Drosophila melanogaster: one gene and its partner. The protein of the gene in region 2 purifies or fractionates together with the protein of the main gene of each other region. This does not show direct contact. Each region holds a gene or a part of one and is shown on either strand. Other genes may lie near its edges.

Region 1 (4,357 bases), on a different chromosome or scaffold from region 2:
CCAATGAAGTATGAAGTATCTGCATCCCGCACAAAGTCGAATTAATGGAGGGGGGCGTTGAAAATCAATATTCATAAAATGTAATACACATTTAATTGAGATGAATTGCACGCATTCAGCATAGGCTGCAATCCATTTTAATGGAATGAGTGCACTTAGGTATTTAACTGTATTATACTGCACTTCTACGGGGCACGGGGCTTTATAAGGATATAATACCCCAAGTCCATCAGCAGCAATTATAGCCATTTATACTCATAGATTTGGTTTTGTTAAGCATTTAACGCTGAAATAGTTTTAAACATGTATGTATTCAGCTGGGGTAATTCGTTTATTTCCAGGAAATAATATTGTTTTATCAAATCTCCCAGGTGAAGTTAAGGTCAGGACCGCAGGCCTCATAACATAGATGTGAATGGGAGTAGAAAACCCTGGAAGTTGAGCCACAGTGCCACAGTGCCACAGCATTTTGGGCTTATGCAGCTGCCACACATAGAGGCAAAATAACAAGCAATAAAATGTGTACGTGTCTAAATTTTAATATGGTTTCGGTACGTAGTGCGTACGCACATCCAGTTGAGATGGTATGTACATTCATTGCGGAGTGTGTGGGAATGTGTGTGTGTTTGCCAGTCCCTGTTTATTTGACTTGCTACTTATTTATTACGAAGCATAATGAAATTTCACGTAATCCTCATTAAAGCCAGAACAAAGGCACGGAGTTTGGGCAAACAACTTCAAGTCGCTGCTGCTGTGTACATTTGCACATTCAAATCTCAGTCATGACTCAATTTCAGCAATAAGAGCTGCTCCGAGGTGTAGATGAGCACCCCACTCGCCGGGACACAGATTATCGACTTTTGAGGCACGAGCAGACACACAAAAGCCAGTCAGACAGACGTCTCCATCGCCCACACGTCCAATACAAATAAATCAGACAAAGCATATAAATCTAAATTGTATCGCATTGTGGCGCATTTCACCTCACCTTCGTCTTCAGCTGCTTTATTGGCAAATTGGCGGGTTGAGGGATTGGCCTTTGTGTGCCAAACCTCCTGGCTTCCACTTGGAGCACCTGTATCGGGTACTCGGTATCGGTTCGATTGCCTGCCACGTTGATTTCCCATCGATTTTGGCAACAGCCCGCCCGCCACAAATGGTCATGCCATTCAGCCCTTTTTTTCTGCGGTTTCCATTCTGCTGACAGCGCAATTATCGGTGGAGTATATTGAGTGCTGAAATATCAGCCAATATAGCAATGCCAATTTTATATAAAAGTCACTTTAAACGATAACCAAATAGGTGTTTCTTCAACATACTAAGCATGTTTGAGTAAACTCCACGACTAGTTCAACAAATTGTTCCGGCTGATCCTCATACACACAGTGTCCAGCATCCAGAATCTGTACCACTGTATTTGGAAAGTATCTCTGCATCACGGCAATACTGGTCGTGGTCACGAATTCCGACTGGGAACCGGCTATGAGCAAGACTTCGCCCATGTAGGGACGCAGTCCGCCCAAAGTGGCCTCGTAATTGATCATCATCTCCCCCCAGGAGCTTAGGACCGCCTGGGGATTAACTGCCCAGCCAAAGGTGTTGTCCTGCATCTTGCGCAGATTGTAAATAATGCGACGCAGCTCGGAGGCGTCGTGGACCACATCCTGGAACAGTGGCAGGATGAACGTACGCCCCTCGGAAAGTGATAGATTTGAGGGAATACTGGGCGCCACCTGGAGCATCATCTCGAACACCTGCCGAGTGAGATAGAAGTTACTGGGCACCGGTGCTGGTGTGATGTCCACCAGTATGACCCGCTCGACGAGTTGCGGCTGAGTGAGTGCCAGTGTCATCATTGCCCGACCGCCCATTCCATGTCCAAGTGCAACGATCTTGTTCAGTCTCTGGTGGCTCATCAGGGCCTCCACGTCGGCGGCCAGGTGCATTGGCGAATGCCCGGTTATGTAAGGACTAAGGCCATGATTCCGAGCATCCACGGTGATCACCTGGCGCAATCCAACCTGACTGAGGTTAACAGCTACCTGGCGCCAGGATTCCAGTGACAGATTGAGGTCGTGCATCACCACAATTGGTGGCGCCTGCATCTGATTGCGCGGCGAGGTGTAGGAGACATACTCCAAACGAGTGCCCTGGACAAATGACTGGAAGTTTCGCAGCACTTGGGCTCCGCCTTTGGAAAGGATCGAGCCGAGAAGTCGCTGTCTTGCCATGGTTTCCGAAAATTTAGAATAGCTGTCAGTTCTGCAGGGAACTACATTAAAAGCTGGGTTTTCTTTTGTTATCCATGTAAAAATGATTTCTTTTTGCTAGAAATTCAGAGAAATCTCTACAATTTAAAAGTTCAAACGAAATCATGCTACATTTTAAAACTTGGCATACATTGATTTATTCAGTTTCTATTGACAGTTTAAAACGAATTCTATCGAATGTTACAAAGAATAAATCAAATCAATACTATCATAGTAGTTGTGTTGTTTTCAGTTTAAAAATATCGTAATGGCATACATCAATGCGGTTGTTATTCCTTGCCATTGCATAAAAGCAACACTTTTATTCTCATATTTATTTATTTCAGACAACATCTCGAGTTGTACCTTGGGATATTCCGTATACGCCCCGTAGCGTCCGTCGTCTCGGGACACAATGGTATTAGCCGTAATCCACTGGGGCTAATGCTTCGTTTAACGCTCCGGAGTCGGAGTCTAAGCGCTTTTATGTCGCTTACAATTGCGGCTGGCAGTGCAAATCCCCAAATTGCGTAATAAATAAAATGCATTTGCGTGGAAAATTAGGAAATGGCAGAAACAGCTCTACGAGAAGGGGGAGTAAATTCAAATTTCCACATTTTCATATTTTACATTTTTACATTTTCATAATGTGAGTGCGCTGAGTTTGCCATCACAGAGGGCATAAATCTTGGCGAGTGCTCAGACACAGAGACAAACAAATGGTCTGAGACATTTCTTGTTACTTGAATATTCTTTTTTTTTGGTGCACAAATCGTAAGATGAAGTTCGTTTGTTTTTGAAAACCAAGCCAACGGACGCCGTCTAATGGCTGGAATAGAAATGAATGCAAATTTTCAAACTATTTTTACCCGGAATCCCTCGCTTTTGAACTTCGATTTAGCCATTAAAGTGGGTACACTTCATGGCAGCTGTCTGTCTTACTGTTTGACAGTATCGAAGGCACTTCATATCCAATTTCAGGCTATTGACACAATGAAGCACCCTTGAGTAGTACTCCGCTGGCTTGGAAGAACATAAAACGAACTAAATAAATAAACTGGAAACCTCATTTGGAGCCATAAAAACGAACTTTCGAATGCAAACCCACAGTTGAAGTCGTGTTTTGCCCCTTTTCCAATCAGCCCCATTGAAAAGTTTAGCGACAATGAAATCCTCCGAATGCTGGATACGACCCCCCGGGGAATCAGACCTCCGAATTCCCATCAAAGGATTACCTCAGTCTGTCAGCGCATTCCATTCTAAGCCTTGGACGCTGTCCTGTTGCCACGCGGCTAAATACTTGCCCGAATTGGGGGAATGCCTTTCATCTCCATAGCATCAAAATCTTAGAGAGATTCCGATTGGGAGCAAAAAGCCGGCGTAATTATCCGCGCAGGTGCACTGAACCCTATTCAGCAGGAGAGCGGAATACGCAGCAGGACTCCCAGAGAGTCACTTATAAACAAAAACAAATGCATGCAACAGATTGGAGGAGACTAACGGCATAAATGCTATTTCGGTTGAATAACTTAAATAATAAATGATTTGACATTGAATACAACTAAGCAGAACATTTTTTAAATATATATAACCTTAGAGAATTTCTAATTAACAAAACTAAAAAACTTAAAATTTAAAAGAACTTTGTGACAGGTTTAAAAACCGAGTTGCTAACCGGTTATTTTCCGAAAACGGTTCGTGTCACGGCTGTCTCGAAAGCACTGTGTATAATATTCAAGACATCCACCAGCAGCACATAACCGTTTCGAGGGTTGGAGTAGTAACTAAGAATTCTCTTTGACATAAGTTAATAATATTCTAATATGCTAATATTAGGATTCTAATAATATTCTAATATTCTGGAATGCTTGTTCTCTTTGCCACAGTCAAGAACTGCACAGCTATTTTTGAATTTATACAATATGTTATTATGGTAAAAAATAAATTAAAAATTTGTATTCCTATACCAAAATATACGTAAACCGGTTATTTGAGCGTGCTAAGTATTAGTCTTAATCCAGTTCAATTCATTTGGTTAGCTATAGGTAACAATAGATTATTATCAAAAAATCTGCAAATTGGTTAAAAAAAAATAATTTTTTTATTCA
Region 2 (4,865 bases):
TCTCCCGCACTGGTGTAAGGGGCGGCCTGCCTCTCACACCTGTTGTCGCTGTTTAGAATTCCCAAATCAAATCGGCAATATTAGCAGCATTTCCTCAGTAGTCCTCAGATCGCAGGCTCCTGCCTCACGGTCGCCATGTAATAAACCAATATATGCCACCAATTGAGAACACGTGTTTTCCTTGCAGTTGGGTGCAGCCGTCAGGCCACCTTTTTATTTCTTCTTATCTCTTCGAGTAGCAGAAACGGTTCTGCCCGCTTAACCTCTACAGAGTGTCTAATCTTACCTAAATACTGCGACTGCGCCGCCGTCGACAGCGGCAGAAGAGCAGCGTATATATATATGTATAAGAGAGAGAGAGAGAGAGAGAGAGAGAGAGAGAGCTTATGCGCATATATGGCCAGCGGCCAGCGTGGGGATGCTGACTTAGCTTAAAGCATAAATGGGTGATCTTATATCACGCTCACTTGAGACATTTATTTATGCAATGCAACTAAGTGTTGCTGTGTACTTATAGGTACAGTATACCCTCGATATATGCACATACTACAATTCGCCACTAGATTTCTAGTCTAAGTATATTTTAAACACAACTCTTCACAGACCGCGCTACGATGGAGTTCATTAATTAATTCAATGATTAATGACAAAAGCAATCCAATAAAATCTATCCACATTGTTGTTGTGATCCACAGAAAACCCGAAATAAACGTTAAACAAGAAAAATTAATTGTTCTAATTTTTTTAATATCGTCTTATTCCTAGTATATAATGAAAACTTTAAACCTTAAATCTAGGCATCCCGATATAGTAAACTTGTTAAAATAAAAAATGAGTAAAATTTGGAAAACAACACACAGCATCAAAATAACTCAAAATATTAAATAACACTTCGTTTTGGAAAAAATTTAAATAAAATTTCGCTGTGTAAATAATTTCAGTCAGTAGACTTGTAACAAAAGTAAAAACATTAACACCCCCTAAGTAGTTGGAAGAGCAACCAATATCAAGTTAACTATCACTATAATGCTTAAGATTCTGAAACTCCCGAAGGCACTATGGGCAGACTTATTTTGTTGGCTAATTCAAAGCATTTGAACAAATACAAGGCTGAGCAGTGATCCCACAGCCATGCCACAGCTCAAAGCAGCTGCCATTATCGACGAAGCCAGCTCCTTTTCATGCTGCTTTACGCGTTTAGGCGCCATTATAAGTAGTATGTTCGTAAAATATCCGTTGGACAAGGCAAACATTACCATCATCGCTATGAAAGTATAGTCGTGTTTTACCAAAACTGGCAGAAAGCTGTGTTCGCTGGAGTTTGAACATAGAAATAACGGAACAAACGCCATGCGCACTACAATAAATAGTAGCGAAGTGTTCTGGTTTAATGGTCGCTCCATCCAGCCAGCAAACAGACGACCAAAATAGTCACCGCAGTTAAATATCAGGTAGTTCACGACGGGCAGAAAATAAACATCTGTAAGAACACCGCATATGAGGCACGAACAAAAAGAATAGGTTTTCTGTTTACCTGTCCACACGCTGTGGCCGTACTCTGACTGCATAAGCACTGTAACTGCCGGATAGACAGACAGGGTCGTGGTATAGAGGAGCGCTAGGGAAATGGCATGCAGATAGATCTTCGACATGACCTGACGCAAAATAGGCTCAAGCGGCAAGCCCTCAGCGCTTCCATTCCGGTTGTGCGAGGGCACTGCCCGGATGACCTTGTACTTGTCGCCACCTTCGAGATAATACCTAAAGAAAGGCTTTCGAGCCAGGATTACGTAGCACACAATGCAAAGCAGGATGAGCACTCCTCCCACAATGAAGAAGATGAATGCAGTGGTATTGGGACCCGTGTCGAATGCAAGCACAAGAATGAAGGCCAGGGCTGTGAGGATACCACCAAGAGCCTGTCCGCTAACCACAGCGGTGATAAACTCGGAGGGAAATAGACCAGCGACTCCGTAGAGGGCTCCCGACATTGTAGCCGCAGATACTATATATAATAAATATTAAGTAAACACTCAAGGAGTACTTCATGGTACCCACTATTTAGCAGCACTACAATGATGAGAGTGATTAGGAAAAACTGTTCCTGCCACGTGTCTGTGTTGATCTCCACGAAGCCAGTTGTAACCCCGAAAAGGATGAGGATCATCCACAGCGTTCCTAACATCTTGGTGCGCAGGGACACATGGTGTCCGAAAATGGCGTTTAGCAGCAGAAATGTAGTCCCAGAAATAGTGGCCGTGAGAGCCAAGTCGCAGGTAAAACTCTTCTGCAACGGGGTGAGCTCTTCCTCCAGGTCTGTGTTATTAATCGATGCATTCCGGAACTTGTACTTCCAGTACTGAAAGAGAAGCGAACAGGGTTAAAGCGTAAGTCAGCGGAAAACAAAGAAAATCAAAAAAGAGAGTTTTCGTCTGGGTGTGGGTCGTAAAGAAACGACGACAAAGCTGATAAGCACCGCGCCTTAGAATTGCGCTTGGCCCAGTTGTTCAGCTGTTTGGAATTGATATGTCCGAAGTTCAGTTAAATTGACTAGGATGCGGGTGCGGAAATTTCCACTCGTTAAACTTACATCTTCCGCAGTCACAAAGAAATTCCACGGGGTCATGGTACCAATGCCCAACAGGTAGAACACGAGGTAGGTGAAGAGTCGTCCACTCTCGGGTTCGTTGGACACCAAAACTACCTCGTCCTGCTGGCGTTCCATGAGACATTGCTCATCCGCATGGTGGTCCTGCGGACGAAAAGCGGGAACGAAGCTGCCCTCCGTGCCCAGAATCTCGTCATCCTCGTCCAGGGCGTCCACCAGTCGTCGTGTGTCACTGGTGCCTGGCATTGCCACTGAATTGCACTACTGTTTTGTACGCAGCCCTTGGTATTCATAAATTTACAACACCTCTGGCGGATTATTCACATCTGTAATTGTGGAGAAGTATTCGATGTAACTTAATCTGATGCAATTTACTTTCATGTGTATCATTTAGCACGGACGAACTGCGTAACATAAAAACGAATTTGTAAACAACAAAGCAAGACATTATACAAAAAATATCGATGGCTTATCGAGAGGAATCGATTAAATGAAAATATCTAAGATATCGCACTAACACCACAAAACCGTTCACCCAGGTTGGCAGCCCTTGGCGCGAAATGTGATGGGATTCAAACTGCATCTTAGTTTTGCATCTTAGTCCTATATTTTAGAGGACTGTGAAATTGGATTTTATTTGCAAAACGAGCGTAGCATCCACCTCAAATCGTAATTTAATTGCCAGCCAGAGCAGCAACAATAAAAACACCAATATCAAGCAGACCCTAGAGCTGATGATGAATGAACGCAATTTGTATTTAATCAATAAGCACGCCCCGCAGTGTTTTAAATCAGCGCACAGCTTCGTTTTACGGCTTAGCGCCATTCGCAGGATGCGATCCGCCCTCCACCCCTCGCCCATTGATCGCTTGCGAAATTTTAATTGGATTTGCATTCGCGTTCGTCCCGAAACCGGTTAACACACGCTCCTTCCCTCTGGACATGCGTTTCCTGACCCCCTCACTGGTCGGGACATAAATTTATTTTTAATTTACTTATGCGCGAATTTCCGATCTCTGCCCTGCGGTTGTTTGATTTGCGAATTAAACTGGAGGGGGCCTTCGAGGAGAAGCGTCCTCGTTAGCGCTGTTGCCCAGGTGGGCAAGGATCGAGGGGACTTCTCTTCCGTCTTCGATTGTCATCGCGGGCTTGCAAATTAGATTAGTTCATAATGATCACGAGGGGGTTTCGCATCCCAGCGAGAGGCGTGTCATCTCATTAATTCCGTAAAAACGCTGCCCCCACTCCCATGAGCCCAATCAATCTCCCGATGAGATTCTGATTCCCCTGCGCAGGCCACACACTCTGCCTCGGTCTGGCAATTTAAAAATCACATTAAATTAGTCAGCAAGAAATCACCACAACGAAACCATCAACAAATCATCTCAAATTAAATTCATTCAGAGAGTGGAAGTGGATGGGGATGTTGATGTGGATGGGCTGATGGTCTGATGAGTAGCCAGTCGGCTTAAGCAACTCATCTCCCATTCATGCCAACGGGTAGCACTACGAGATCGAGACTGGGCTCACTAGCAGACTTGGCAATTAATAAAAATGTAAATTCAATTAAATTTATATGACAGCTGGCTGTCAGAAGAGCTCAAATTAAAAATTACTAACAAGACCTGTTCCGCCGAGATCGCCGTACTTCCCGTGTCCCGAAGAGCTACTCGACGAAAAGCCTCGGGTGCAGGCCACGCTTAATTAAAAATCCAACAACTTCAACTCGCAGACGAAGATGATGAAGATTGGGCTGCGGATATGGATTCCATTCGCCCTCTCTGCATGCTCTACACTCCGGTGCCGGGCAAATCTCATTTGCCGGACTTCAATTTGAGTGACGTCCTCCGACCACCCGAGGTGATCTTGTTCTGGTTTCCTCCTAAAGATCTCTGGCTTTTTGGGTATCCAAGTGGCAGTTGGCTGGAATGCTTGACAGCCGCCGTTTAGCAGGAAAGCTGACGAGGGATACATGCACTTAATATTTACATTGTCATCGGAAAAATTAATATTATTAATTAATTAATTTATCCCGTATATACGGGATTCGGTACATAACACTTTTTGAATGGTAAAAAAAAAATTTACCCAATTTTAAAATTTTGGATTATGATTTTTGGCGAAAAATTGAAAAAAAAATACAATTTCTAAGTTGGAATGCAGTTCGATTGGAAATTTTATTACGAATTCAACAAGGCATATCACTTTTTTCTCCGATCATTTTTTGGAATGTTATGCGAAAAATAATGACTTTTCT

The links.
Region 1: the proteins of Ent1 (region 2) and CG14717 purify together in Drosophila melanogaster (affinity purification with mass spectrometry, with the first as the bait; one large-scale study listed by BioGRID). This does not show direct contact.

The regions. Positions count from the first base shown.
Region 1 is NT_033777.3:11,694,520-11,698,876, reverse strand, and holds CG14717 (uncharacterized protein), read right to left. Parts: upstream 2,369-4,357; 5' UTR 2,232-2,368; coding exon 1,311-2,231; 3' UTR 550-1,310; downstream 1-549.
Region 2 is NT_033779.5:354,833-359,697, forward strand, and holds Ent1 (equilibrative nucleoside transporter 1), read right to left. Parts: upstream 3,043-4,865; 5' UTR 2,855-3,042; coding exon 2,591-2,854; exon of another isoform or gene 2,497-2,590; intron 2,360-2,496; coding exon 2,059-2,359; exon of another isoform or gene 2,006-2,058; coding exon 1,535-2,005; exon of another isoform or gene 1,481-1,534; coding exon 1,086-1,480; 3' UTR 733-1,085; downstream 1-732.